Linked DNA regions of Caenorhabditis elegans. The protein of the gene in region 1 interacts with the protein of each later gene in a pairwise test. Each region holds a gene or a part of one and is shown on either strand. Other genes may lie near its edges.

Evidence for each region.
Region 2: the proteins of T06C10.3 (region 1) and C06A8.6 interact in a two-hybrid assay, tested with the Caenorhabditis elegans proteins (one large-scale study listed by BioGRID).

Annotation. Positions count from the first base shown.
Region 1 is NC_003282.8:7,864,879-7,876,132, forward strand, and holds T06C10.3 (Tyrosine-protein kinase), read left to right. Parts: upstream 1-5,872; 5' UTR 5,873-5,921; intron 5,922-5,969; 5' UTR 5,970-5,986; coding exon 5,987-6,054; intron 6,055-6,103; coding exon 6,104-6,181; intron 6,182-6,229; coding exon 6,230-6,344; intron 6,345-6,481; coding exon 6,482-6,826; intron 6,827-6,995; coding exon 6,996-7,555; intron 7,556-7,601; coding exon 7,602-7,778; intron 7,779-7,825; coding exon 7,826-8,156; 3' UTR 8,157-8,191; downstream 8,192-11,254. Other genes in the region: flp-10 (FMRF-Like Peptide), read left to right, coding at 4,052-4,124, 4,619-4,749; kin-26 (Tyrosine-protein kinase), read right to left, coding at 10,874-10,963, 11,010-11,132, 11,182-11,254.
Region 2 is NC_003280.10:7,766,890-7,778,143, reverse strand, and holds C06A8.6 (U2A'/phosphoprotein 32 family A C-terminal domain-containing protein), read right to left. Parts: upstream 5,646-11,254; 5' UTR 5,530-5,645; coding exon 5,443-5,529; intron 5,397-5,442; coding exon 4,878-5,396; intron 4,829-4,877; coding exon 4,646-4,828; intron 4,590-4,645; coding exon 4,431-4,589; intron 4,381-4,430; coding exon 4,279-4,380; 3' UTR 4,230-4,278; downstream 1-4,229. Other genes in the region: mthf-1 (putative methylenetetrahydrofolate reductase (NADPH)), read left to right, coding at 395-477, 1,848-1,922, 1,973-2,345, 2,403-3,140, 3,188-3,601, 3,651-3,805, 3,850-4,003; cepr-104.2 (Centrosomal protein CEP104 N-terminal domain-containing protein), read left to right, coding at 6,127-6,233, 6,280-6,371, 6,418-6,601, 8,091-8,173, 8,697-8,803, 10,362-10,478, 10,525-10,599, 11,024-11,082.

The DNA.
Region 1 (11,254 bases):
ATATGTCAGGGTTATGTGACTCAAAGATAAAAACAATAAACAAATCACTGAACTCTTCGAAAATCTATAATTTGTAACTCATCGTAAACAATTATTTAGTTATTTACTGTTTTTTAAATATAAATGAGCAAACTTTAAAAAAAACTGAACAACAATGAAAAAGAGAGTTTTGATACATCTGATTTTTTAGTAATTTTGTAAAAGAACTAAGAAGGTACTCGATTATTAGTTTACCCAAAAAAGATTTAATAATTCCAAAATAGGGTTTGAAGCAGGAAGTAGCATGACCACTATACTTTTTTGGAACTTGATCCCAAGTTTCTCAACGTTTTCTTATCTTTACTCATACTATTTTTTAGATTTCCAAGAAAATCTAACTTTAATTTTTCCCGTTCAAAAATTCAATCATTTCCGTTTTACTACTCATTCATATTCGCCCAATCACCACCCACATTTATCCAATGCCATTTACGGAAAACGATGTTTGCTGACTTTTGATGATGCCAAACATTGTCGGTTCCCTTTAAGCTTTTCAATTAGGTATGTGAAAACATTTATTTATTCATTTTCTACATTACTATACTATTCCTAGAGAGAGACGTTCTCCTAATTTTGACTCATTAAATCCTTAGCGGTTTTAGTGTCGATTCAGTTTTTAACTCAAAGGATCCCACTCTAACAAGATCCAAATTAAAAAAAGTTTTTACTTGGCAATATCGGAATAGTTTACAGTAGACCGTTTATAAATAAATGTTCGTAGGTTTCATGAGCCCTTGAAGATTTTGATGTAGTCTGAAGTAAGGATTAATATTTATCTTATTTTCCACTTTTTTTAAAATGAGCATCAGTTAGTCTCATCGTTTTGCAGTGTTTTAAAAATTGTAAAGTCACTCACAGCTCAAGCGATGTTAAGTCAAATTCCAGTGGCATTTTACAGTACATATTTCTTACTTGTCAGGTTTCCGTACGACTCCACAACTTATCTTCCTAGCCCCATCTTGAACAACATTTTGTTATTTAAACCGTTCTAGAGATTTGTCATATTTGTAATGTAAAATTAAAGATTTTTGGTTGCGTCTGAAAATAAGTGACGTACGGATAAAGAGTACAATTTCTGAAAAAATTGTTTGGTGATAATTTCTAATTTCTCTATTGACTCAATTTTCATAACTCACACGAGTCAGATTATGGGTTTTGACTATAAATTGTTGGTGTCCGATGACAACAAAAACAGTCAGAATGATAGAAAAATGAGACATCAAACTCGTAATATGAATCAATTTTGGATCATGGGATTCGATGACTCTATTTTTCAAAAAAAAAAAAACCACTCCGTATATAAACTAGAGTTTATTTAAACACTAATTTCAATGATCACGAAAATGGAAAATATATAACATTCATTCCGAATTTCTGTTCGTTTGCAGGCAGTATATAATGTAATCTTTATTTAACTGGAAACGTTTTAAGTTATCAACCAGTAATGTGGGGGAGATCACAATTGATTTTCAACTCATGAAAATCAAAGTCACATTTTGAAATTGAAACATCAGATGCACGAGAAATTACGTATTTTTTAAACACATTTATGATTGAGCTTCTAACATTCTATGGATGTAATGTTTGATTTTTCGATTCTCAAGTTAGTTTTGGATTGATAATCCCAAAATCTAATAATTATTTTCAAGAAAAAATGGAACAGCTCATTCTGCACCGTACTGTATAGAAAATTAGATTGAAAATACTCAGAGATATTTCTAAAGAATTATGTGAGCGACTAAATATTTATTATTCGTTTACAGTTTCCACCCATATAATCAAACCATTTGTTATCTGGTATGACCAATTGTGCCTAACTAATTTCTCTCAATCGCCAATAAAATTTCTGGAAAGCTCTTCGTACGTGACAACTCAGAATGGAGACAGTTCCCATATTCTGGAAATGCTGAGAATTCTGAGAACTCGGCGTCATTGAATCACACGTATCATCATTTATCGTACACGTATCGTATCATTTATCATCAAACTTGAGCTATGATACCTATTTAACTTTACGTCAGCATCAGTTAGCAGACTAAAATCGAATTATAGTGGATATGAATAGAGGGCGGAAAAGCATGACAACAACGTTCGAATCGAAAAAACAACTTGAACCGTTGAGAAATGTTCAATTAGTGTTGAGTTCAAGAGCTCGGAGATCGAATTATTCCTATGATTATTTAGTTTCTCCTCTACTGTAGGTTTCAGAGCTGTGCTAAATTTATATGCATATAGAGAAAAATTATTTTTCTTCGTTGGAGAAGAAGGATCTTTTTGTATTGCATAGGATAAATAATCGGAAAAATATGCTAATCATAAGACAAAAACTTTTGGAAAAAAACTAGTGTTGCTTCGCGATTCGGCACCTGGGTGAACATCTCCAAAACGTGGGAAATTTTTTGAAAATTACTCGGCTAATGACTAGTGTTTTATCTCGTCTACTCATCATATACAACTTCTTACAAGTGTCTACTTCTCGAATTAAATTCCGATTTTCCCCGATTCGAAGAGCCGCACAGCTCTGATAAGAATCACGAAATTGAACTCGGAAAATCTCGAGATCAGTTCCGCCATATTCGTTTTGTTTCCTACATTCATTTGTTCTCATTTCAAATGTTTATTTTAGTCTTTCTCGTATTTTTCTTTGCTTATTCTGCGTTCCATCATAATATCTATTTTTCTTTCCATCTTTGATACGGAAATAACACATTAGGCTTGTGTTTGATGTGACCCAGTTATCACATCTCTCCCACCCTTGCCACGTCATCATTCATCCACAGAGCATTCGGGTCGAAGGGGGTGGAGCTTGTAAACGAGCAGGGGAGGATGCTCCGCCCGTCGTGTTCTTCTGCAAAGAATTGAAGTCGAATTTTTTATTTTTCATTCCATTTTTATGAGATGGTAGTTGTTGGTACGTACACCAGTTTTATGATCTTGGCCACTCAATTCGGGGTTTTCAAGTTGTTTTAGTGTTAGAGACCTCTGGAATTCAAGAGTACGTCTTGATTTATTTTACATGTAAAGTGGTGTCAATTGTAATTCCTCCAGGACCACTGTCATGACTTCAAGCTAGCTTGCAATTAGAGGTCAAAAGTATATGATACCGTTTGACAACAGGTGCCAATGAATCCACAAATCAAATACACGCGCGAGCCCCATCCTCAAACGAGACGTGATCACATTTAAGCCCGGATTTGCGGCAATCGAACATTTTTGATAATTGCCGAAATTGCCGAGTGCCGGACTGTTTCGGCAATTTTCAAACCTAACTAAAGTTAGAAAATTTTAAAAAAATCAGCCTTGTTCTTTAATAATAGATTAGTCTTCGTTTGAAATAATATTTTGACGCAAAAATTATCAGACTTATATTTTCGGCAATTCAGATTTCCGGAAATTCGCCAAATCGCCGAAATTGCCAAAAATTCGATTGTCGAATGGAAATAGTCGCGCACCTATGATCCAAGCCCTCAAAACCTGTGCATTACCTAAAAATTCCAGTATCCAAATTATTCATCTTTCAAACGAAATCTGAGATTTATATTCAAAATGGATAACCTCCTCTTCAGATCTCACTTTTACTCTCACCTTTCTCTTTTTCCACTTTTCTTATCCAATTAACGTTTATGACCGATAATAAAGGTCAGTTTGTTTTTGAAATGAGTAGAGAGAAGTGTTCAATTATTCCTTTTCCTTGTTAGACATTACCAGAACAATTCAATTTGCCACGTCATCAAAAGTACGTGATCAAAAAAGACCCGAAGATGATGTGATGAAGAAGGAGTGAAAGATGAAAGAAGACCACCAAGAAGCACGCTGAATTTTTGATATTATTAACATTTCTTCAGAGACTAGAGTACCTACTTTCGTTTCAACATTTTCTCATTTTCTTTCCTCTTTCCTCATTCTCATGACCTTACCATGAATTCACCCATCTCACTAATTATACGCCTAAATCTTTTCTTATTCTCGAATCATGGACACTTTTCTAGGCAATCAACTCATACAGCAAAGGATGCAACTCTCCATCGTTTTCGTCTTTTTTGTTCTCTGCTTGGCCGCTGTTTTTGCTGTTCCTATCAGCGATGGTAAGCTTTTTAACTGTATTTCTAGTATACACTCAGTTTTCGGTAAATGAGTCAAAGTAAAATCATGTAAGAATCTGAAATATTGAAAGTTGCGTTTTTTAACCATGAGAAAAATTTACTGGTTTTTTTGGGCATATGAGAATTTTCACTACGAAATTCGTTCACTTGAAAACATTTTGAGTATGCCTTCATAATATCGTTAGTTCTCCTTTACTAAATAACTTCCAATTTCATCAGATTTTTTTCGAAAAATTTTTAACAAGCTGGCTTAGTCATTATAAAAAACCGAGCTATTTTGGGTAAAATACACAGATTTGTTTGTTACAAGTTTTGCAACTGGCAAACAACTGATTTTGTTGTTTTTAGGCGATCTCACAGAATAATATTCTGTAGTTTGAGTTTTCCCAGCGTCAAAGAGAAACAAAATAAAACCGAAAACTGTCAATCAAAGTGGATTGATCAGAGTAAAAACTATCTTAATAATCCATTTCCAGCTTCCCGTGCTCGTCGTCAAGTCGCATCGGAGAAGCGTCAACCAAAGGCACGCTCTGGATACATTCGATTCGGAAAACGAAGAGTCGATCCAAATGCAGAACTTTTGTATCTCGACCAACTTCTCATTTGAATCCGGCATTCCGACATCTCTTTCATCATCTTCTTCATCATCTTCAACAAAATCCACGTCATCATGCGCCCTTTCTTTCTCTGCGTCTCGTCTAGTCTCTCATTCTCATGTTACAGTAATCCAACAATTATTGAACACTGAACAATTAATTCCTTCTTCTCAACCATCCCCACCAGTCGTCAAGTTTTCGTTTCATCAAATTTCTTGACCTGAAAAATATTCGTTTCATATTTCTAATAACGAAGATTTGATCTCGAAGCGCTTTTAACTAAAATGTCACCAAATAAATTATATTCATTTAATTTTACAATTGCTTCTCTTTTTCGTCTTTTATTTCTCTTGAATTCTTCTCCACCCATCGACCCCCGAACACATCCCAATGCTTTTTTGTTTGATTGTCGCATTCCAGTATTTTCAGTTTCAAAATACACAGCGAATAAAACGATTTGTTGTATTTTTATATTTAATATCATAAAAATTATTATGCTCAAGACTTTGAGTTCTCTATTTCAATAGAACATTTCCGAGTTCGTGAATCAGGGTATTGTGAATATGGATGAAAGAATCTGCTTCTATTATGACTTTGTGTTTATTTCTTCCCAGTTATTACATTATTACGTTATTATTAATCACTAAAATCTACTAATTGACGTTTACAACTTTAGTAGAGATCTGTTAAACATTAAAGCTCCAAGAAAACTACTCAATCAGTACAAGAACGAACTAGTCATAATTTTGGCGACCGCCGAAATTACCAACTGAATTTAATTTAAGACTTTTTTATTAAACTGCATATGAAACCCCAAACTTCGTCCTTTATATAATCAAATAAGAGAGACAAATTTTAAGATTTTTTTGTGTAGATTTGTGATTACTACAGTAATTCTTCAGGGGGTTGTGTGTACTCTAAATAAAAAAGGAGGTGGCAGTCCTGACGATTAAAGTAACATTTTTTATAAGGACATTTTGAGCCAAGTGATAAAAAACATCAGCATTTGGTTTTAAAAATCCAAAAACAAAAAAAAACGTGAACCCGAAATGAGAACGCAAAAAAACAACTTGGAAAAAACAAACATCGAAAATCTATAAAATCAATCGATTTTTGATTATTTCGAATTGTTCTCACAACTTCTTTTCCAATTAAATTTGGAAAATTATTTCTATCACAAAAGGTACGCAAGTTTCAAATTTTCAGGCTTCTTAATTCATTTGATTTTCAGAAGGAAAACATTGCAAAATGGGATCAAACGAGCTGTTTACAAGATCCGTGTACATGCAGTCATCGGTCTATTCGAATAATTCAAAGTGAGTCTAGTTTTGGGTATCAGCTGAAATTTCAATCTTTCTTTTTCAGAAGCAGTACATCTAGTTCATCTTCAAATTCCATTCCTACTCAAAGTGCTCCAGCGATGAATGCTGCTTCCTCTCCAAGGTTTGAGATTTTCAGAAAATAAATGAATTTCGATAGTTTGGTTTTTAGCAAAGAGCCAGCAAAGCAAGAAAAAGAGGATGACAAGAAGGAGGTAGAAGAGAAGAAAGAAATTGAGAAGTCGGTAGAGGCGAAGGTGGAGGGAAAAGTGAAGGCAAAGGTCGAGGTAAGAGCTTAAAGCCACTTCACAGTTAATTTGCGATGATCGTTTCCGCAATATGCACATTGTGTTCGGCTCTCGATCCATTGTGCGCACATTGCGAAGTAACTGTTGGAATTACGAATTAACTGTTTTTTTTTCAGTCCACGCAGAATACGGACAATAGTCAAGAATTGAAAGCTCCCGAAGAGAAACCAAAGAAGAAGAAGAAAAAAAAGTCTAATCTCATTGTTTCGGCTTCTGTTGAGAAACTATCAATTGTCCCTGAAAAGGAAGACTTTTCAATCTTGGAGAAAAAGCTTCGCGAGTTCAATTTCTACCACGGCTTTTTGCCTCGAGAGGATCTTCACACAACTTTGCACAATCCAGGCGATTTCCTTCTTCGAGTTTCTGAAGTTGTGGAAGGAGAGCACAAAGTCAATCGGGAAGTGATTCTATCACTCATTCCAGTGTCCACGGTATCAAAAGACGAGGAGGATAGGAAGAAGGTGAGGAGATTGATTCAGGCCTGAATGCTGCCTATATTTCCTACCTGATCTGACTGAGGGCGCCGATGTAGTACTTTATAAGAGGTAACGCGCGCAAATGACTGTAGTAGGTAGGCGTAGGCATGGAAGCGTCATCATAAAATATCGATGTACATTGCCACTATTTCAGGTCCGCAACGTTGTCATAAAACGTGTAACAAACTTATTCTTCTGTGAGATTACTCGAACCTTTGAGTCAATTTCGGATCTTGTCACTTACTACACAAAGAACCCTGGAGGATGTGCATCTGGAACATTTCAATTAAAACATCCAATTCTTCAGCAATCATGGGAATTTATGCATTCGGACGTAACAGTTGGAAAAGTTCTCGGAGAAGGAGCATTCGGAAAAGTTTGCTCTGGAACTTTGAAGCTTAAAGATGGAACGAATGTTGATGTTGCGATTAAAATGACAAAAGTGTCGGCATTCCTCAGCAAAATGAAGATCAAGGAAATGATGAATGAAGCGAGATTTATTCGAAACTTCAATCACAAAAATGTCGTTCGTTTGTATGGAGTTGCGCATCACGAACAGCCGCTCTACATTCTGCTGGAATTGGTGAAAGGTGGATCTTTGCAAGATCATATGAAGAAGGAGAAAGGAGCTGTTTCAATTGTGGAGAAAATCAAGTTTTGTTCTGGTGCAGGTAGAGGTATCGAGTATTTGCATCAAAACAATTGTATTCATCGGTTTGTTGTTTGATTCCGTATAAATTGATAAATGATTGTATTTCAGTGACATCGCTGCTCGAAACTGTCTTCTCCACGAAAAAGAAGTCAAGATTACCGACTTTGGTCTCTCCCGAACTGGACCAGTCTACAAAATGAAGACTGCTTGCAAGCTTCCAGTCAAATGGCTTGCTCCGGAGACTTTGTCAACACTCTCGTTCTCCTTTGCCACTGATACGTACAGGTAACTTATAGTATCAGTACTTCATTCTAAAAAACTTGAAATTTCAGTTGGGGAGTCACTTGCTACGAAGTGTTTGCTGATGGTGTAGAACCCTTCTTTGGAATTCAAAATTCCGTGGTGAAGACCGATATTCTTGCGAACAAGTTCCTGCAGATGCCTCCAACCACCCCTGAGTCTATCAAGAAGTACATGGAAGCTTCGATTTTTGTCGAAGGATCGCGTCGTGCTACAATGACGTCGGCAATTGCAGAGTTCGAAAAGATCAAGTCGGCTCTAGAACGTCCTCCTTCTGATATGTTATCCGTTGGAGCTGGAGCAAAGAAAGTAATGAAACTACTGAAGAGAAATAAGCAAGAGAAGTATTCAAAAGGAGATTGAACTTGGATTTTTTGAAATAAAGGTTTTGAATAGTATCTTATAGTTGTTTCTTGTTGTGTGATCGTTTCCAGATACTTTTCATGGAAGTGCAAGAGTCTGTATAATAGTGGCAGTTAAAAAATATGCACACAATTAAAATTCCATACTCTGGCAAGACGATTTGTAGTTGTTCTTTTTAATGTTAACCTCTTCCTTCTTCATGCAGCTGTTGATTTTGACAAAACATTGCTAATTCTAAAAAAAAAAAACTTCCCACACCGTCTTTCCATTATTGGGGGAGAAACAATTATTCATTGCTATATTTTGTGAATAATACTTCAAAATAAATAATTTATTTAAATAATCAAGAAGTTATGAATGTCCTGCTGAACAAATGCTCTGCTGAACAGAAATGTGTCTAAAAATTATTTGGTATTTACTTGTGTATTATACCCCGCCATTTTAAAAATTAATTAAATTTCCATTCCATGAAGATGTTGTTTCGATGATTTTTGAAGAGAATATAACCAGTGAAACTAAACTTTTGAAAGAACAAAGAACAAAATAATATTTGAAAAAAAAACCGAATACAAATTAATCAAGCATAAAATATTCCTTTTCTAAAACTTTGTTTAAATAAGCATTTTTGCAAATCTGGTTATTAGACTAAATGTGAGTCACTATTCATAACACAATTGTATGTTCGGCTCGTTGTGCACAAATCCTTCACTTTCACTGCTTAAATCTTGATTATCTTGAACGAAAATATTTCCTAATGTAAAAATTATTTTAAATATGTTGCGTCTGCGCCCCTTCCAAAATTGCAATTTATGGGTATTCTGCAAAGTTGATCCTTTTGTTTTTTCTTGTTTCTCACGGAATACGTAACCATTTTTCTTCCTTTTGGATAAAAATCACTGAAGTTTGCTACCTAATGTCAAAATAAATATACATTTTCAAGATGTTTGGTTCAGCTGAAATGAACTTAATAAATACATAGGTGGTGTAGTCGAATTTTTTTATTGGTTTATTAGACTCAAAAGTGTCTGAAAACACCGAATTTAATAATGAAACTTCTTGAAAACTTCTAAAAAAAAGTTATGACGCCTCAAAAATTTATTTTTTTGAAATCGCAGTCAATTTTTGAGTATACAATGTAATTATCTTGCGTTTTCAACTTCGTTTAGGTATTTTAAAGTCGATTGACTGTGAGATTTTTAAATTTTTTAAAACCTATTCTCGCCGTCAATCGACTTTAAAAAATAAAGCTCAGCTGACAAAATAAACGAGTTTAAAAAAACATTCAAAAGTCAAGACAATAAGGTTTTTTTTAAATTTTCATACTTACTTAGGATACTTAGACGATCCGTTCTTCAGGAATTCGTGGTATTCCTGCGGATCACAGCAAACCATTCTTTTCGGTCCTTGGCTATAGTGGACCAGGGGGTGATGACTTCTCCGTCTGCGTCACGAGTGGTGATCTCCTTTCGCAGCGAATCAGCCCATCGCATCGGCGGCCTTCCAACAGGCCTTTTCCATCCATATGGGCGCCATTCTGTCATCAACGTGGTCCATCTTCCGTCTTTCCTTCTCGCAACGTGTCCAGCCCATCCTAGCTTCCTCTTTTTCACGAAATTGAGCGGATCCCTGACTAGAGACATCGTACGAATGTCTTCTCGATGGAGATCTCGCTCTCGTTGTTGGGTGAGTGTTATCCCAACAAGCCGTCTTTCTAGGGAGGCATGTGTGATTCGTACTCGTTCGGATAGAGCTTTGGTGAATGTCCAGGCTTCTGAACCGTAGGTGAGCGCTGGAAGGACAATTGAGTCGAACAGAGTCGCACGAATCTTCTTGTCGGTGATGGAGTCGGTGGTGTTCTTGATTCCATTGAATGCAGCCCAGGCTGCTCTACGTCTTCTGTGGATTTCCGGCATCAAGTTGTTTTGGGCGTTGATTTGACGACCGAGGTAGATGTACTCGTCGACGTCGTCGAGCTGGGTGTTGGGGGAAGGGCTACCGAAGTAGACTTTACTGGGGTCAGCGAATCGGTTTCGCAAGACTTTCGTCTTCCCAGTATTGATCTCGAGACCTACTTCAGAGCATTTTTGTACGAGTTCTTGGAGCATTTTGCTGGCAGTATTCGGATGATTGGCGATGAGCACAATATCGTCATCAAATCTAAGGTTCGTTAGATTTCTGCCATTCACTCTCATTCCAGGGATCGTATCGTAATCCTCAGCTTCTCCTTTCAATTCAATCCAGGAAAGCTTTCGGAAAACGTGTTCGAGGCAAGCGGAGAAAAGATTCGGAGAGAAAAAAGTTATGACGCCTCAAAAATTTATTTTTTTGAAATCGCAGTCAATTTTTGAGTATACAATGTAATCATCTTGCGTTTTCAACTTCGTTTAGGTATTTTAAAGTCGATGGACTGTGAGATTTTTAAATTTTTTAAAACCTATTCTCGCCGTCAATCGACTTTAAAAAATAAAGCTCAGCTGACAAAATAAACGAGTTTAAAAAAACATTCAAAAGTCAAGACAATAAGCTTTTTTTAAATTTTCATAAAATTGTCAAATTCAAAGAACTTATTTAGTCCTAAAATTAATCTAAAATGTTCAACTGTCATAGTAAAATATTTCAAAATTTTTAAATTTCCAGCCAAATGTGGCACTTGCTCAGGTTTTACTGTAAATGATAAAAAACAAAAAAGAGCCAAATACAAGAATTTATTCAATCATTTAGTTCTTCGACATTCCCTTTGGAAGCTTCACATTAGACTTCTTGCGACGAGCAGTTGTTTTCGTAGTTACAGAGTTCATTAGGAGAAGCTGAAATAAAAGTATATATTAGAATTAATAAGATTTTCGAAACAACCTCCTCTGCCTCTTTCTTCGCTATGGCTGTAAAATTGGGGCGAGGAGTTTCAGTGACACGTTGTAGGATTTCAGCAATTTCAGCCATTGATGGACGATCATTCGGATTTTCAGCATTGCATCTCTTTAAAGGAAATCATTGGTTCATTGTATTTCTAACTTTTATTTCTTACCGCCATCATTGTTTGAATCTCAGCCTGAGCATGTGGGTACGGTGGCATACGGTATCCATTTGCAACTTGTGTA
Region 2 (11,254 bases), on another chromosome or scaffold:
GGCGCCCCGCTGAGAATGTGTATTGCTTCATGTATGCAAAAGTGCACTGAGTGCCACGACGAACGCTTTAGTGAGAGAACGAGAGACCCAGCATGCTATGTTCCTTCTATATAAATATTGAACAAAACAAGTGGTTTTATGCCAGAAGCACGTTTGTTTCTCATTTTCTTGTCATTTTTGCTTAGATTAAGAACATTTAGCGGACATTGATAGTTCTATGACTTCTCTTTTTTCCAATTTACCAACCGTTTGCCACCTTAACGCTCCGCCCTTTTCTCTGATTGTATAAAAGAATCGGACTTAATACGAGCAAATTTCAGTCGGTGAATCTCATCAAACAACGGATTCGTGGTTCCCGACAGAGAATAACTACGGTTAAAACGAACCAAGGAAAATGACGAATACTGGAGAAACTAAAGTTATTGAATCTCATGGAACCATTAAGAAGATCGATTCTCTGTCCACAATGCCATATTGGTAGGTTCTTTATATTAATCTTCTAAACTTAGAGCATCTTTTTATGTCTCAAAATGCTTTTAAAAAAAGCACTGAAATATGCCTCCTTTCTACCAATTCTACCTACTTGACCTCTATCTTATCAGAAGACATGTCTACCACCCATTTGTCCCACTGCGATCACAAACTGATCTCTTATCAGTGTCAACTGTTGGATACCATTGATATTCACGTGATTTGGGCATTTTTATATTGTTGAGAGTGAAAACCTTTCAAAAAAAAAATACAATTTCTGTTCAATTTCAAGAACTTGAAATTTTCAAAAAAAAAGCACGCTGATTATGGCTAAAGTTAGAATGTTTAGTTAAAAAAAAAGAAACATATGAGAAAATGCAGAAAATGACCTGAAAGTTGCCAATTACCGAAAAACAAAGCTTGATAATTCGACAATCGGCAATTTGCAACTTCCAAGTAATTTTTAAGCACTTTTTCAAAATTATCATCCGAAGTAAACTATATTTACAGCTAAATCGATTGATTTCCTATATTTTAAAACTAATTTTTAACGAAAAATGTCGGAGAAACATGGTGCATTTATATACTAGAATTGTCCAAAATATTTGCAAGTTGCAACCTTTTGAATCACAAATAGTATTTTTTTCAAAAATGAGCTAATTGACTTTTAGAAACATAGTAATTACTTATCGTTGCTAATGATTTCATCTCTTATCACCCCACAATATCTTATCAATGAAGGTGAACACGGCAGAGTACAAAACGTGTCTATTATCAGAAAAAAGTTTGTTAGTCCTCTGCGACACATTATTCTCTCTGCACTCGGAAAAGATCGAATACTGATCTATCAAATTTAAATCTAACCGTGTTTTCTTGCCTTCTAGGAGACAATTTGATCAGTATCTCTCTATTAAGTGGAACAAAAGACACCAAGCAAGAAATTTCCAAGGAAAAATACAGGGAAATAATTTATTCGATCCGAAATTTCAAACAAGAAAAAGCTAATATATCATTGATGATAGTGAATTATTATTTCGATGTAGCACTGTATTAGTTCAACATCAGCTTTTTGTTTTCCGAAGTTCTGAAAAATTTGAAAAAAAGTACTTTCCTACTGTGTCAGTATCAAAGAACAAGTTGTCCAAATCATAATTGTTACGTTCCTAGATCTCTCCCGAGATTCATATCGAATCACATGATGATTCTGGAGAAGATATATAACACTCCGCCCTTAGAATCCTGTTTGCCACATTTCTTCATTTGTCGCTAACAAATTTTGTTTCCTCGGAGACTCTAGTTGAAATGGCCGTTTTAAGTAAAAAGTGGGTTGTTGATTCAGGTTTTTTGATCGAATAATATAATATTTTGAATTTCAGTGGTGTTGAGACCGATGAGAATGCGGTTGTCGAGGAGAAGATAACTCTGGAATCTGGAAAGAGCTGGTCACCAAAGTAAGTTTTGATCAGATATAAAGCTATTACTAAACAAATTTATATTTCAGGCATTATGAACTTCTTCACGAGAGAATTGAACGTCTTATCGATGAGAAACAACAATTCTTCTCTCTTGAATTCTTCCCACCTCGATTTGTCAATGGAGTTCCAAACTTCTTAGAGCGTGTTGAACGTCTTTCCGAAGGTGGATCCGTCTTTGTCGATATGACATGGCATATGGGAAGTGATCCAGCTAACGTCGATAAAGTGACTTCATCGTCTTCGATTGCTGCTTCAATGCTTGATTATTGTGGAGTCGACACTATGTTGCATATGACTTGTGTTCAATACAATAAAGCTGATACTTTGAAACATCTCGAGCAAGCCAAGGCAATGGGATTGAGAAGTATTCTTGCTTTGAGAGGAGATCTCCCACCGGGCGTAAGTTAATCATGAAACAAGATTGTCAAAAAATTAAATAATATTTTTCAATTTTAGACTGAGCTCGAAGATACCCATCAATTCCGTGCACTTGATATGATCCGCTGGATCCGCGAAGAATATGGAAACTACTTCTCAATTGGTTGCGCAGGATATCCTCTTGGACATCCACAAGCTCCGTCTTACAAAGCTGATCTTATGTACTTGAAGGCAAAATGTGATGCTGGAGCAAACTTCGTCATTACTCAATTATTCTTTGAGGCTGAAACTTTCGAAAAGTTTGTGCGCGACTGCCGTGAAATTGGAATCACTCAGCCAATTATTCCGGGAATCATGCCAATTATGGGTTATGAGTCTATCAAACGTATTGCCAAACTCTCACAACTTGAGATTCCACAACATATTCTTGATGATCTCGAACCAATCAAGCACGATGATGATGCTGTTCAAAAGTACGGAACAGAGCGTTGCATTGAAATGTGCCGCCGTCTTCTTGACAATGGAACTGCCCCTTCCATCCATCTATACACTATGAATCGTGAAGGAAGTATTCGTGAAATTCTCAAATCTCTTGGTCTCTGGAAACTCGAGGGTGATCGTGTTTTCCCATGGAAAAATCGTTCGCAACATCCTATCAGATGTCTGGAAAGTGTTCGTCCAATTTACTGGAGTTTCCGCCCACGCAGTTACATCACCAGAACTCGTGATTGGGATCAATTCCCTAACGGAAGATGGGGAAACAGTTCATCGCCAGCATTTGGAGATGTCAGCAGCTACTACTTGTCTAATTTGACGGTTCGTTCAAAGATTGTGTTAGAACTTTCTCACAGATAAAATTTCAGACTGTTCGAAACGCCGATGACCGTCTAGCTATGTTCGGAGCCAACATCGAGAGTTTTGAAGACGTCAAGCGCGTGTTCATCAACTACATTACTCAAGCTCCAAACGCCGATGGCGTCAAGGTTACTGTACTTCCATGGACAGAAGCTGAAACTGGTGTTCAGCCAGAAACTTCATTGATCAGTGAACAACTTGTTTGGTGTAATGAGAATGGAATTCTGACCGTCAACAGTCAGCCATCAGTTAATGGAGCTCCATCCACTGATCCACTTGTTGGGTGGGGAAAACCAGGAGGTTACTGCTACCAAAAGGCATACCTCGAATGCTTCATGACCGCGGAGTTGTCCGACAAGCTCATTCAAATCATCGAGAGAGAATTCCCAGTCAGAGTTAACTACCATGCCATCAATAAGGATGTATGTTTAAAAAGTAATTTTAAAAACCATAAAATAAATTCTTCTTCAGAGTACCTTCGACAAGACCAACAGCGAAGAAACCACTCCGATTGCAGTTACTTGGGGAGTATTCCCAGGATCTGAGATTGCCCAGCCAACAGTCGTCGATCCACTCTCTTTCCGCGCATGGAGAGATGAAGCTTACCAAATGTGGATGGCCCAATGGTAAGGTATCTAATCACTCGTTCTGTCTAATTGTTTAATTTTAGGGGAGATTTTTATCCAAAAGAATCTAAATCATATGGAGTCATCAAGGCTGTTCATGATGAGTTCCGTTTGGTTACTCTCGTCGACAACGACTTCCAGAAGCCATCAGTTCTTTTCGACGTACTTCAAAAGGCCCTCGACGAGCTGAAAAAGTAAAAATCATCAAACTAATTTGACTTTTTGACACGTCTGATTTCAATTCATTCAATTTTCCACCACGATATTCACTTCCGTTGATGAAATACACCATTGGTTGGGACACTTCCCCTTATTCTCTATTACCAGTATTACCCTATTAAGTTTTAGCTTCAACAACCCCCGATTCAAAATCGCTCCCTCTTTTATTTTATTTATTTCCGGCTTCCTTGTTTAATAAAATATCAATAATCAAGAAATCTTCATCTAGTTGAATAAATGCTAAAGTTCAAGTATTAGACGGACTCAGTGGGATGATCATCAGACGGATTATCAAGTACAACACGCGAAAGCTCTGTCTCATTCTTCTCTTCTTTTGGTGGACGGAGCATCGAATGCTGAAATTAAAAAACAAATTGAAGATTAATTTAATTAAGTTTTAAATTACCTCACGGCACTGAGTTCCATCAAGACGAGTAATTTGTTGCAAGAGATGAATAACCTTTCCACGATAAGTATCCACTGATGCAATTGGATTGAAATCGAGGTAAACACTATTGAGTTGTGGAAGTTCAACCAATTCATCCATAATGCTCCAGTTATCCAACTAAAATTAACAAAGAATTGATTAGTTATGGAATGTAATCAAATGATCTATATTACCTTATTTCCTCTTGCCCAAAAGTCTGTAAGTGTCTTCAATTGATGGATATTCTCGACCTTCTCAAGACGATTCTGATTGAAATCCAGAATTTCAAGAGGAAGATGCTCATCGATTCCACAAACGTACTTGATGCCATTTTGAGCCAGATAAATCTCTTTCAAGTTGTGAAGTCCCGAAATGTTCTGAAATTTTGTTTTATAAGTGGTATTTAGAAAGAAGAAATAACTATACATCAACTACAGTAATCGCATTGGCTGGAAGACTGAGAACTGTGAGCTTCTTCAAATGATCAACATTTTCAATAAGACGAATCTGATTAGCGCCAAGGAACAATCTATCGAGTTTCAGATTGTTGTCGAGATTCTCGATTTTCGCAATTCTATTGTCACCCAATTCGAGATATTCCAGCTCAGTCAACGTATCCAAACCCTCGATTTTAGTGATTTTGTTATGAACAAAAAAGAGAGTCTTCAGTTTTGTCAACTTCTCCAAATTTTCAATTTTGGTGATACGATTGAATGACAGGTCGAGTGACTCCAAATTGACGAGGCTATCCAAGTTTTCAACTTTTGTAATTTGATTATCGTAAAACTCGAGATGAGTCAACGTTGTCAAACAATCCAGATTTTCAATCTTTTTGATCAGATTCCAACGAAACGAGAAGTGTTCGACGTGAGTGAGCCACGAATAATCACCGATTTCTTTGATACGGTGACGCGTCAAGTCAACGTTTTTGGCATCGGCCGGAATCTGTAATATGAGGTTCTCGGGAAGAACGAAAATAACAAAGGTTTACCTCAACATATTCGATATCTTCAGGTTCCACAACAATCTTTTCGAATTCTTTAACACCATCCTCTGAAGTGACACTGGTGACGTTCATAGCTAGAACCTTCCAACGATCTCGTAGAACAAGGGAATGATTAGCGAAGAGTTGTTAATTTGGAAAAAGAGGAAGAAACACGTTATGATGAAATTTACACAAACGAAGAGGTTACGTGAAATAAAATTTCAATATATCAATTAAATAGTTCTGTACGTTTTTACAGATTACTTTGTAGACAGTTCTTCTACATATCTAAATGAATTAGGCTTTACAGAGCAGTTTGATTGAACTCTAGATATACATCTTATACTGATTAGATATACTGATTAAAATATCATATTCGGTACCATCCGGTGCCTTTCGAGTCTACTTCCAACTGGCTGAAGTTCAAATTCGACCATCCCTGCGAAACTTACTCCTAAAATATAATTTTTTAAAGATCCAACTGCACATGAAGGATACTGTAACAGTAGACAATTTTAATAACTAGATATCAGAGTACACCTAGAAAATTTTTAAACATCACCAACCGTTTCCATATACTTGCTGTTTTTTCCTTGTTTCTACGACTTTTGTTTTAAATATTGAATAATTCACATCTTCTATTGCCACTTATCCTTTTTTTCTTCAAAAACTCAATATTCAACACTTTACATGCCTCTTCCATTTTCAATAATCTCTACAACTTCCCAAGATGTTTTGGAAGATGCTGACTCGGATGAAGAAGCTGAAACATTTTATGTCAATTGGATAACTGAAAAGTTCTTGCTTTTTAAATTCGAAAGTTTTATTATAAAAATATTTCAGAAACCATTCGTTTCCACAATCAATGGTATTAGAGCTCGAAGAAGAAAGTCTCGTCAGCAGTGTTAAGCTAATTGTTCATAAAGATTATCCACGTAGTTTTAGAATCGAATCTACGTTCATTCAATAAAATAATTTCAGCATCATCCTTGACAGTTTCACTTGGAATTCCATCAAATCATTTTCGAAACTCTCGTGGAAAATCTTACAATGCCGATTATTCAGTTCGTCAAGAGCTTTCATTCAGAGACGATTTTCATGTAGAATACGGTCAGAAGCATCCGAAGGCAACTGTTTTCTTCAATTCACCAGCTAAATTTGTGAGGTTTGTCTAAAAAAGAAGAAAGAGCTCACATTAAAAATCCGCAAGTATAACTTTTTATACATTGAACAGAATCTCTGAAAGCATCATCATCATTTCAAATATATCTGCACAAAATTGTTGTCAAATCGTCAATTCAAAAGCAAATAATGGGTTCCACCACTAGGCTTCCACTCTTTTTGAAAACGGCTGTTGGCACCCAAATGTCCACGTCGTTTTCTTTTTCTGTTTACTTACATCTTTTCTCGTCATTTTTTTTTCGTTCGATTTTACTAAGAGTAAGTGTCGGTAGGTACTAGGAAACGGAGAAATAGAACATAGACAAAAAACAAGTCGTGGTTTGTGTTCATGTGCCAAAACTGTTTGGTTCGGACGGTCGAGCACAATAAACAATAGTTTGTAGTCAAGACTACACGTCTACAAGAGGCGTGTATCTATGAGAATTGTCATTATGGATGGAAGATTCTAGAAGATACTATTACTATATACATTCAAAGTTTATTGGCTTTTGTATCATTATATCCTTTTTGCACGAAAATGTAAAATATATTTTAAAGTTCGGTTGCCATTGAGAAATGCTCACTATTGGTAACACGTAAAACAAAAATTGAGACATTACCCGTCTTGCCAAATCTTTTTTATTCAACCCATAAATGCCACAGATCTGTGTCAAAAGCATGCTGTTTCCCATATTTTTCATTTTTCAGACGTAACAATTATTTCTTTCAGCCAATTTTCTTCGATTCGCTCATTTTTTTGTTTTCTTTCCCTTCTCGTTCTTTTTCGAAGAAAATTGAAGCATATTTTTTGACTTATATTATCAACCTTCAAACATCGAAGATATCTAGTTTAATGCATCTTTTAAAAAACATTTTATCCAAAATTACAGCTCATTATGAACTTGTTCAAAATTTCGTAAATTAAATACACTTTATGTTGAACCCTTTCTCAAAAATTATTACACGATGAAATGAGCAAGTCTAGCAGTTTTTTTTTCTGAAATCCGCTAAAACGAGCTCAATGCACATGACTTCAATGTCAAAAAAGACTCTCGTTTTCAATACACTCTGCTTCTCTTATTCCAATTTTCCATGAATTTCAATTTGACCCCCACTTCCGCTCGATTATACCTTTTCCGTTTTATATTAGATTGCATTTTTGTGAGTGGGAATTTTTTTCCAAAAACCGTGTTGCTTACAAATAGCTTTCAATTTTCGTTGGAAATTTTTTAACTGCTCTGAGGTAGTTTTTCAACTTTAACTATTTATAACAACGCGAATAGTAATTTATAGGATTACTGAATAAACGAATTCTTCTGATATATTTTTTCTCGGAATTTGGAGGAACTTCTTGGCATAAACATATTTGAAAGAACTTAATAAATTGGCAAGTTGTTGCCAGAATGTTGCCTTCGAATTCCAATGCAAAATGAGAACTTCATTTGTACTTTTTTTTCGAAATCTACAATGATTATGTATTCATAAAATTTCAGAATATCAGTGCACGGATTCTCAGATTCAGACGTCAATCATCATCGTCAAGTCTCCATTCTTTCTGTTATTATCAGTGGAGCAGGTCAGTTTATACTATTTGTTTCATTTAAAATATATAGCCAATTCGATAGTCATTGACTTTGCATAATGAAATTTTTAAAATAAAAAAACTCCATTGTTCATGAGAAATTTGAAGTCAAAGTTCGGTATCATCACATAAAGCCCCGGAATATTTGTTTCTCTTTTCACCTTTTTTGTTATTTTTTTGCCATCAAAACATTCAAAAATCCATCATCCAATGTCAATTTTTTCCCGTTTTCTTTCATTTTTTTACTCTGTAAAAGCAAAAATTGTTTCTAAAATGGAGTCGGAGAACAGGAAATTCATTGGAGTTTTTGAGCTTTTGGACCATTTGAAAGAATCTGAAAACGAAAGAAGAAAAAGTAAGATTTTGAAAAGTTTTCTTAAGAAAGAAATTCTTTTAAAGAGAAAGAATTTAAAAATTAAAGTATGCAGTTTTCTTTAAAATTTATTTCACCTATTAAACTAATTAGTTTCAACTCTCAATTTCACTACCAAATGACCTTTCTTTCCGTTAATTGCAGGTGAAATACTACCATTTGACAGTCATTTGAAGGACGAACCAAAACAGACAGAGATGAGTTACATCGAACTCGACAAGGGAATTCTGCTGCCGTTGAAGTCAAAACCGGTCAGTTTTCCATATATTTCAATAGTTTATTCTTTTATTTTGTTGTAAAAAGTTACCAGTCTCCTCAGACTTGTACACCTATCGAGTTGGAAATTTCTTGTTTGCATGTTCCAATTTTGTTGAAAGCTGTGCGTGTTTTTGACATTTGTATTCTAAAAAACTATTCAATTTAATATAAAAGACTCGAGCCCTATTGTCGATCAAATTTTCAATTAAACCCACAATGAAGTCTGTGAGCAATTGTGTTGTAACACAAAAAATTTGAGAAATTCTCATTCAATGAAGAATTTTTTTAATTTTAAAATCGCATCTATTTTTTGCTCTATTCTTTTCTTGAAGTTTTCTAGTTTTTTCCGTAAAAATTTCCGGCCATTAAAGTGTGCAAACCAAGAAGCTTTGAATTTTGGCCCATTGCTCACCTATTACTTTTTTCATCGTGCTCCATATACATATATTGCCTATAATTTCTTACGTTTTGCATTGTTACCTCAAAAAAAGGTTGAGAAACTGTGATAAATTGGAGAATAATTTTTTAACAACTAATTTCTCATTAAGTGGGCCTGTGAGTTGTTTCTTTTCTACTAACGAATCCAATCATATTACACATGAAAACATATAACAAAAACAAAAAAGGGAAAAGGGAAAACCTAGAGATGCAGGTGTTCCTTGTACAAGCTTTTGCTCAGTATTCCCACTTTCACCAAATATATAATATATATTTGGTTAGTCACCGAAAGAGAGACACCTTCTCTGACGCCATACACTCACGTAAACACTACTTCTATTTCTCTCTCCCCCCTGTTTTCCCCCGCAATTTATATAAAATCGCCATAAGTGTACTTGTGGTAGGTTTCTTCCAACAAAAGGATTACAAGGTCTCTTAGAGTCCGATATTTTTCCATTGATTTTTTTTTCAGAAATGTATTTTATAAGCCTTCAAATTCAGATTTAAAAGATTGTTTCGTATATATTTATACATATCATTTGAGATTATCCATAATTACGGAAATATTCATCCCTTCATAACTTTGATATATACTTTTTAGACTAGGATTTGTTTTTCAGAACAGATGATAGATAATAGAAATAAATAGAGATTGGCAGTTCAATTGTTTGCTCTTTTCTCATCTTATTTGCTATTCAGTCAGTTGAACTGCTGCCTTCTACTCAACTTTCGAGAAAATATATGAAAATAGTTATTTCGTGGTTTCACTGTATGAATTTCGAAGTTTATTTCATAATTTTTATGAATTTTTCCAAAGATTTATTTTTATAAGATGATAAAAATGTTTAACTAAAATCTAAGAAGTTTTAATTTTGATCATTTGAATATTGCTCACTTCGAAAGTTTTTTTTAGCAACTGCAACCATGGGAAAATTGACCCAATTTGACTGATCATGTGACGTAATGGTATCCTTGGTGACTTTTTATTTCAGTCATTTTCTATTCAGTGGTTGTTAGTTGTCAGCTTCTTTTTATTTTTTTTCTTCTTGAGAAAACCTCATTTTCTTATGCTCAACTGCACATCACTTCATTTCATTTTTCTTTTTTTTTCAGAAAATGCGAGAAACAAAGACTATTGTTGGACTTTACGACACAGATTCAGAAGATGAGGAGATTTTATTTTCAAAAGAAATGTTGAATAGATTACGAAAAAGGGAAGCCGTTATGAAAGTGAGTGGATTTAAAATTTGAACTGAAATTATAATGGGTTTTCCAGAATCCACAGTTGCCTACAACATCGGCGATAACTGAAACTATTGCAATTGATACAAGTTGTGAAAAGTCTGCTCCGGTGAGTCATTCTGTATTGCAAAACTCTGATAAGAACTTTAAATATTTGCCAGGCAATGTTCTAAAACAAAATTAAACATAATTAAATTTTACATATTTAGATAAATAATTTAAATAAGCATAGATGATCCAAAACTCAATTGATTTTTTTTTTCATACAAATTTGTTAACAGTAAAAACAAAGATATTTCATTATATACAGAATATAGCGATTAATTTTAATTAATAGTAAGTTTAAAAAAACTTTGATAAAACGCAGGCCTATGTATGATCCAGGCAATAATTGTTGTGGCTTAATAGCTGGATTACATCCTAATATTAAAAAAAACCACTCTGAAAATTAAAAAATAATCAGAATTATATAAAAAAGTGATTATGTGTCAAAAGTTTTATTTCGTCTTCGATACAATTTTATTGTTTTCCAGGTATCATCGTCTTCATCCTCAAAACAACAATCATCAGTATCACCTCCATTATCTGACAGGTAGTCGGCAGTTCATATTTTTTATTGTGAATACTATTTTCTCTTTTGTTTTTCTTCTGATTGTGTGATTCATATTTAATCATTTTTACCTGATTATCATGTTTCTTGTATGTTATCCCCTCGATATTTTTTTTCTATTTGAATATAAATATACTCAGTTCCATCCCTTGAC